Linked DNA regions of Caenorhabditis elegans. The protein of the gene in region 1 interacts with the protein of each later gene in a pairwise test. Each region holds a gene or a part of one and is shown on either strand. Other genes may lie near its edges.

Region 1 (3,752 bases):
CATCAGCTCGTTATGGAAGGATATAAACTTCATTTTCGCAAGCGGGTCGTCACAGTTTGGTCGGCGCCCAATTACTGCTATCGGTAGAATTTTTGTGAATTTTTGCTCCAAAAAATGCATTAAAATTGAATTTTACTGTCGAAACAGATAGATAAGAGCCTGCAGATTTGTACTACACGTGGACAACTGAGAACCCGATTTTTTACTGTTTTTTGACTATTTTTGTGAAAAAAAAGCGTTCAGAATGGTCTGAATCCGACAAAAAAGGATTTTTTCGAAACCGAAAACGCAAAAAAAAATGTTTTTTATCAAAATTGTACTTTTGTCATGATTTCGAGTAAAATTTTAAGGAAAAAAAGTGAAACAGGTTAATTTTCTAACAAATTTTGTGTTTTCGGTTTTTCGATTTTACAGAAAAGCGGCAAAAAATGTTTTTTTTTCAAATTTTCGATTTTCCTTGAAAAACATCGAAAAATGACACCAAAAAAACGGTCAGAAAATTTTCTTTTTTTTTAAATTTTTTATTTTCTGACCGGTTTTTGGTGTCATTTTTCGATGTTTTTCAAGGAAATTCGAAAAATTGAAAAAAAAAGTTTTTTGCCGATTTTCTGTAAAATCGAAACACCGAAAACACAAAATTTGTTAGAAAATAACCATAAAATTCGTTTTTTTTTTAAATTCTAATTTTGTTCAAATTGATGAGAAAAAACAAAAAAAAAAGCCACCTAAAAAGAAGAAAAATTTTCAAAATTTAATCTAATTTTAGAAAAATCTTTTTAAAAAAAGTCGAAATATCGGAAAATTAAAAACCCAAAATTTTTAGAATTTCAGAAAAAAGCTCGTTTTTCGATTTTATTAGTCGGAATCAACCCTGATTAACCATTTTCAATGTTAAAGACGAAAATAATTCGCAAAAATAGACCAAAACTTGTCCACGTGTAGTACAAAATCCTCCGTAAATCGACACCGCGCCGCAGGCTTGCAAACCCGAAACTGCGCCTTCCTATTTACAATTTAGAATAAACATCGAATTTTCAGATGCGGAAACGTGGCGGCAATCATGGAGGTCACCGAGGAAAATATCGACAGCGACCCCGTTTTTGAAGTTTTCGAAGCGGCAACAGTGGAGAATCGAGGAGAGCCGAAAAAGCAACCGATTGCTCAATATTTTCTATGATTTTTTTTTTGCGAAAAACCCACCCCCAATTTTACCCTCATTCTAGCACTTTTACTCGAAAATCTTATTTTTCAATTTCTCAAAGAAAAAAAATCTCATTCATTCTTGTGAATATTTCAATTACTATCCATTTTATCTAGGAATTCATATTTAATTATTTGATTATTTTATCATCATTTTTTGTAAATTCTCACCTCCTCCGGGTTCAAAATATTTCGGTTATTGTTTTCCCGCTCAAGTTCTCACCTCAATTTCTGGTATTTATTATAACACACGAGTGCTCTCCTTTCGAAGAAAAAATTTCTAATTTTAATTTTTTATTATTATTCCGATTTGTAAGAGTTTAAAAACTAATGCTTATTTTGAAATTTTAAATATTATCAATTTCTATTTAAAAAAATTGAACAATTGATTGCGAAATAGTGCCCTATGACGCCCGAAAAAAAATCATGTGGCCGATTTTATTTCGGTTTTTACTGAAAATTTATAGATTTTTTAAAATTATTTTTCCAATTTTTCAACAAAAATAATCAATTTTTTAGCCAAAATTTGAAAATATCTTTCGCGATTTTTTGGTGGTTTTTTGTAATTGCTTTCCTAAATTTTCCTCTAAAACCCCGATTTTCAGCCAAAAAAAACCAGCCATGTTGCGCGTACTATCACGTCAAGCGTTCTCAATGGTTCGAGCAGCCAACTTCTCGGCTTCAGCTTCATCAGCCGGTGGTGGCGGACTTAGCGATGAAGTTCGCAAACGAATCGACGGAATCGTGAAAAAAGATGATGTTGTCGTTTTTATGAAGGGAACACAACAGGAGCCAGCGTGTGGATTCTCGAGAAATGTTAAATTGGTACGGGAAAATGGAGATTTTGTGGAAAAAAGTGGAAAATTCAACAAAAAAAAATTGCAAAATAGGCAATTTTTCAAATTTGACTACTCTCCGACCAATCAGCGTCTTCGCGCTCCGCCCATACCGTCTGATTGGTTCAAAAGTGGGCCGAGCGAATCGCTAATTGGTTAGCATTTTTAGTGTAATTCTTGGGCTTAAAATCGCCTCAAAAGAACGATTTTCTTCAAATTTTTTGAAAAAAATTGCAAAATTCAGAAAAAAAATCAAAATAAATTTTACCAGTTTTTCCGTATCACAACGGCCAGCATTTGATTTTTATTCGATTCTTTTGGTAAAATTGGTAAAATTCGAGCTTAAAAGGCCGCTGTTTTAAAATTTTTTGAAAAATCTCATTATTTCGAGCTTTCCTAGCTTGAAGTCGACAAAAATTCGATGATAAATATTACAAAACCACAAAATGCCGAGAATGCGTACTGTGCAACACATTTGACGCGCAAAATATGGAATATCTCGTAGCGAAAACTACACAGTAATCCTTTAAATAAGACTACTGTAGCACTTGTGTCGATTTACCAGCTTTGATAGAGCCCGTAAATCGACACAAGCGCTACAGTAGTCATTTAAAGGATTACTGTAGTTTTCGCTGCGAGATATTTCATATGTTGCGCGTCAAATGTGTTGTGCAATACGTATTCTCAGAATTTAGTGCTACCGTAATAGTTTCGCTTTAAAAAAAAAAAGAAAAAATCCCAAAAAATCACATTTTCCCATTTCAGGTTCTCGACTTCCACAATGTAAAATTCCAAGACTACAACGTTCTGACCGATCAGGAGCTAAGAGAAGGTGTCAAGATTTTCAGCGAATGGCCAACAATTCCACAAGTCTATGTGAAGGGAGAGTTCGTCGGCGGATGTGATATTCTCATTTCAATGCACAAAGACGGAGAGATTTCCGACTTTTTAGACGAAAAGGGAATCTCGAATAAATATGGGAAGCAATGAATAATCCTGTTAGAAATTTAGACGTTTTTTTTTCGAATAAAGATTGCATTATTCAGCAAAAGAAGGAGAGCACGGGAGGTCAAAGACAATAAATAAATAGGGTCCATTTTTTACAATAAAATCAGTGAAAGGGGGGGGGGGGTAATCGATAAAAAAAGTCGAAATTTGCATTTTTATTTTTACTTCCACAACTTCTTGATGGACATATTCTTCTCCGAATCCTTCTGCATAACCTTTCCAACAGCCATCTCGAAATCCTCCTGCGTCACATGAATACGTCGCTCACGGAGCGCGAACATGCCAGCCTCGGTACACACCGACTTGACTTCGGCTCCCGATGCTCCGGGAATTTGCTCGGCGATCTTGGCCATGTTGATACCTCGCATCAAGTTCATCTTGCGCGAGTGAATCTTGAGGATATCGGCACGAGCCTTCTCATCTGGAGCCGGGAACTCAATCTTACGATCGATACGGCCGGGACGGAGAAGTGCGGGGTCGAGAATGTCGATACGATTGGTTGCCATGATGACCTGAACATTTATATATAGAAGCTTGGAATATTTATAGGTGGACTACGCTAAGTGGGATGACCGAATATTATGATTTAAAAAATTCAAAAAAATTTTCTAGATTTTATATGCTTTTTTGTTTTGAAAATTGAAAAAATCTCAGTTTTCCCCTAATTCCTATTTAAATTACTGCCAATTTAACTCGTTCGTTGGGGCG
Region 2 (5,033 bases), on another chromosome or scaffold:
ACAAGGATTCGGAATCGCGTTGAAATTGGCTGCAAAGAAAGCAGATTTTGATCGTCTCATTGGAATTCATCCAACTGTCGCGGAGAACTTCACCACGTTGACTCTTGAAAAGAAGGAAGGAGATGAGGAATTACAAGCTTCTGGTTGCTGAGGTTAAGAAGGGTCCAATTTGGGGGAGAATTTGGGTTTTGGAATGAAATGAACATTGATTTTATTTAGGATCTCTTTTTTAAAATATGAATTCAAAAAAAAAAACAAATAAACCTAAAATCTCAATGTCATTTTATTTCATCACCTACTCTCTTCAAAATTGGACCGTCGGTGGTCGCTAGTAGAGGCAGCTTTGTGACGACCTTTGGCTAAACTCCATCGTGAGCGCCTCTGGTCTGATGCGCCTCCAAAACGTCCACCACCCCTGATGATTTGTTTATTATAGTTTGCATTGTATTTTCGAATCTTCAGGGTTGTTTGTTCTTGACAATTGCCAATTTTTCTAAGCGAAAAGTTTGATTTAATTTTATTCTACTTGGCAATTTTCAAAAACGAACAATTATTCTCTTATCCAGTGTTTAAGTATGTCCTCTCACTTTTTTTTCAATTTCAATCCCGTACTTCTTCCCTATTTTTGGGTAAATCCAAGCCTTTTTCACTCTCTCTCTTAAATGCAATATTGTTTGGTCATTTTACCTTTTATTGTATGTGTTGTAAAAATAAATTGTATTTTACACCGAAAAATGTCCAATTCAGTGATATCATTATGCATGCACATCTTCCGCGTACGACAGCTTTTCCGCGTGATTTTCTGTGTTTTCTCTGTTTCTAGGCGCTCTCCAAATTTACTTTATATTTTTCCAAAATTCTATCTCGTTTTTGAATACACATATGTAAAACCGAAATAGAATGAAAAATTGGGAGACGGAGAGAGGAAACGAAAACAGAGAGAGAAAGAGACGGAGAGGAGAAAAGGCAAATGAAGGTTGCAATCTGTTTTTACACTTTATATTTAGTCTTTGTTCATTTCGAAATTAAACGCAGGCAGGCGCAGGCGGCCGATTGGAATTTCACGTCAATCCTTCCAAACTAGGTGCTTTTGGTAAATCCTGATTTTCTCTGTGCACAGAAGTTAAATTGTTGTTTATAAACTTCATTTTCTACCAAAAATTAACAAATCTGTAAATATTTGCCCCTATAACGATAATTTTAACAGAGATCGCGGCGAGACCCTCTCAAAAAACAGCGTGTGCCTTTGAACTGTCGCCGAAAAATTATTGTAAATTGTGATTCGTCATTTTGCAAGATGAGTCACTTTGAATAAAATCGTTTCAGCAAAAATGGGGGAATTTTTTACGGGAGAAAAAAAGTCCACAGATTCTCCAGTTATGGTTCATTTCTAATAATAATAGCCCAAACTTAATACCTCATAATCCAATTGACCCTTGTACCCCCGGACAAGTGGGCACACGCTTATCGATTTCTATTTCGAGGTACCACTCATTTCCGCGCGGGGAACACTTTTGTCTCTGAGTCTCCTACTTCTCCTTGCTCTTTTCCCAAACGTTCTTGGCAGAAGAACCTCTATGCATATATATCTTCAATGTTTATAATGCCATTTTCTGTTAGGTTTATAAATATCTTACTCGCAACCTCTCTCTAAAAAACAGGCAAAGAAATTATGCGAAATAGAAATTGCACACTGTTTCAAAATATGTATTAATGTTTCCTTAATTTTTCTCTCATATTGAACTATTTCTAGAACTTCGATAAATAATTCCAGAAACTTGGTATAACTTGATAACTTCCAATTGTCATCCCAATGATACCTTTGTGCCGTGAACATAACAAAACATGCCGTGTCAAGGTTAACTATCATTGGCGTGTATACAATGAGGATATCAACAAGAATGCTGTATTGGAACTCTCATGTCAATGTCAAGTCCTCGATCAACTCAGAAAAACGTTCGTCGAGTTGGGATCTTCCACCATCCATTCGGCTGCTGATTTTGAGTTTAGCTGCAGTAAGTTTTTTTTTAAATGAAATTTAGATGCACAGTGCCTGCGCGAATTTCATTGGTTATTTTAGGTTTTCCAGATACTATTCGAGTTGTTCAAAATAGTATAACACAATAATCAATATGTCCAACAAAATTTGATCAACTGAAAAATTATAATTATGAAAAATTGAATTTTATCTACGCTTCCGTTTTTCTATGAAAAGAAGTTACATCGGCTGACAAGATTTTTGAAGCATTTGGATGTGATTTGACCTGTCTAAAAATTGAGTTTTTGATGTTTCAAAACTATTGTTGTTGCACACACAGTTGACAAAAAACAAAGTAGAACAATAGAGGTTATAGGGAAAATATATCGTTTTATCAAATTTAATCTGAACCCAACCGCAGGTTGCTGTAACTTTTTCCAAAGAATTTATGATAATTTGTTTGATAACATAATTTTAGAAATCGTTAAGAGCAAAATTTTGTTAGTTGAAAATTTTCAAATCTAAATGAGCTAGTATTTGAGTTGTGCTCACTTTAAATAGAAACTACAAAAAAAGAAATACGAATAGAGTTTCAGCTGGCACTATATAAAATGTCAGTCATCTTATACCAGATATGATTTTCAGTTACCAAGGATGGCCCTGTAGTTCTGTCCAGTGGCTATGAGATCTACAACAACATTCGCCCGGAATTGAGCTTTTATCATTCTCAACTTCCTCAGCTATTTCTTCATGTCAGAATCTTGGATGTCTCGGTAATTGCCAAGTTGGATGATTTGGGTCGGACTGTGAATGAATGTAAGGCAACGATGAAATCTGACAAGGCATGGAGAGTTATGAAGGATACTGAGGTATTATTTTTCTGATTCGTTTCCCTTGTTTCTAAAAGAAAACTATATTAGATTGCTGAAGGACAACTCTCACTTCAAGAGCTTCTAGACAAGCAACAACTGGAAATCAAATCTCTTCAAAAGGATATTTCCGAAATGAAGCTTGAGAATCAGTGTCGCAAAAAAGAAGACAAAAACTCCTTCAAAAACAAGGAAGTTCACGAGGCTTCATGTGATAAGTGCCAAGATTTGATTATTGGGCATCGATTCAAGTGTGCTATATGCTACAACTACGATTTGTGCGAAACATGTGAAGCTGCCGGAGTTCATGCTCAGCATGCATTGATTCGATTGGTGTCAGAAAATACTTTGTTCCCCGAACATTTGATTGTCAAAAACCCAGAGGAGGTAAAAGATCAAAACGGTCAAGTTCAAGCAATTGCTTCTTCTCGTGACAGAGCTATCCAGGTTCCTTTGAGGAGATTGGGCATAACCCCTCAAGCCATCGCAACAAAGAACAATGTCTCGAGATATTTGAATGCACAAAGTGATCGAAACATTATTGAGGACCCATGGTATGCTCAGCACATGTCTAGCAGGAAACCGCAAACTTATGAAAGAATGCATCCAAAACTGAAAGATACAACTGATGGTAAAAAAGTTCAAAAAGTTTCTTTCCGCGATCGCTTTTACAAGAAAGCAGAATCTAGCCTCGATAAACACGAAAAGCAACTTCGATTCGATCTTTCGGCTTCACGTCAAGAATTCATCAGAGAAAAGGAAAAGTTCAGAGTTGAAAAGGAAACGCTCATGAAACAAAAGGAACAAATTGAAGAGATGATGAAGCAAGAAACTATAAACTTCGAAACGAATAGGGCTTTCTTTTCGGATCGTTTTGAACCGATTTTTAATAAAGTCAAAGATGGAAAGAAAAGCGAAGATGATACTACAAGAAAAGTCGAATTTGAAGTTGAAACTGCTGAGAGCAACTATCCCGGATCTATTTTTTCGGATGAAGATTCTTTGAGTGATCTTGCTGAAATTCTCAAAGACATTGAAGAATATGAGTGTTCGTCTGAGAGCTCTGATGACCAAGAGAAAGACGATTTTGATGTCGTTGAGGAAGAGGCTAAACAATCTTAAACGTATTGTTGAATGTGAGTTATCATCCCTTGGTTCAAAGATATTTATCAACAATTTCAGATAACAAAAACAGAGGATTCAACTTCCATCTTGTACTCTCAACCAGCACTGTAATTCCAATTCAAAAGGACTTTCCAAACGATAATATGCATTTCAATATTCTCATGAATCCTCCAAATATTTAAAAAATTGTTCAAATTGTTCATAACAACTTTCTTATCAAATCAGAAAACTCAGACTGTTTTGCAGAATTGCAAAAATTCAAATATCTAAATTTTTCCATTGTACTGTCTTATCTTTATTTTTTTATTTTTTCTGAAGTCTAAAATTGTAATTTTCCAATTTTGTGAATCTTTTCATTTCGCATTAATAAAATAAATTGAAAATCAGAATTTAGCTTGCCAATATACATAAGAATAGTGAGACAGGGGAGGATAAAAAATTAAAAAAAAAAAAGAATCTTTAATTGTAAAGTCTGTAAACTTTATGAATTCATTTTTAGATTCAAAATTAAAAAATCAGATCTTAAAAAAATGTAAATGTCAAACAAACCTTCTAAAACGACATACGTTTCTACTATTATCCAGAAGATTAATTTCGCGAGTTTCGTCCCAAAAGTACGGTACCGGGTCTCGACACGACAAAAATCGATGAAAATTCTGCTGCAATGAATTTTTGAAGTTACTGTATAAAAGGCGCACATCCGTTTTTCTGGGAGTTTTGTTTGACATCTAGATACTTTTTAGATTTGATTTTAATAGTCGTTTCAAAAAATATCCAGTGCAATGTATCTAAAAGGATTGTTTTTGCAATAGATCCTCGGTTGAACTTTTGTTTTAAAACGAATTGTTCCAGACACACCTTGTTGACTTGAAAATATTTGTCCTTTTTTTTCAAAATAAACTTTGTACTTCTTTTCGTGTCTTTCTGAAATTTTCCATCTATTAATCAGATTGATAAGCTGGGAAAATATATTATTTTCATGTCGTCTGCCAGGTGTCATGTGTGTTTGACACGAGATAACACATGAAAACATGAAGGTCATTCAGTCGTTTTCATTCGAA

What was found.
Region 2: the proteins of glrx-5 (region 1) and gldi-4 interact in a two-hybrid assay, tested with the Caenorhabditis elegans proteins (one large-scale study listed by BioGRID).

Annotation. Positions count from the first base shown.
Region 1 is NC_003281.10:12,371,911-12,375,662, reverse strand, and holds glrx-5 (Glutaredoxin-related protein 5, mitochondrial), read left to right. Parts: upstream 1-1,805; 5' UTR 1,806-1,821; coding exon 1,822-2,025; intron 2,026-2,801; coding exon 2,802-3,026; 3' UTR 3,027-3,081; downstream 3,082-3,752. Other genes in the region: pph-4.2 (Serine/threonine-protein phosphatase 4 catalytic subunit 2), read left to right, coding at 1-83, 1,039-1,177; rpt-6 (26S proteasome regulatory subunit 8), read right to left, coding at 3,206-3,556.
Region 2 is NC_003282.8:7,015,852-7,020,884, forward strand, and holds gldi-4 (ZZ-type domain-containing protein), read left to right. Parts: upstream 1-1,774; 5' UTR 1,775-1,813; coding exon 1,814-2,015; intron 2,016-2,623; coding exon 2,624-2,847; intron 2,848-2,898; coding exon 2,899-3,969; 3' UTR 3,970-3,983; intron 3,984-4,029; 3' UTR 4,030-4,359; downstream 4,360-5,033.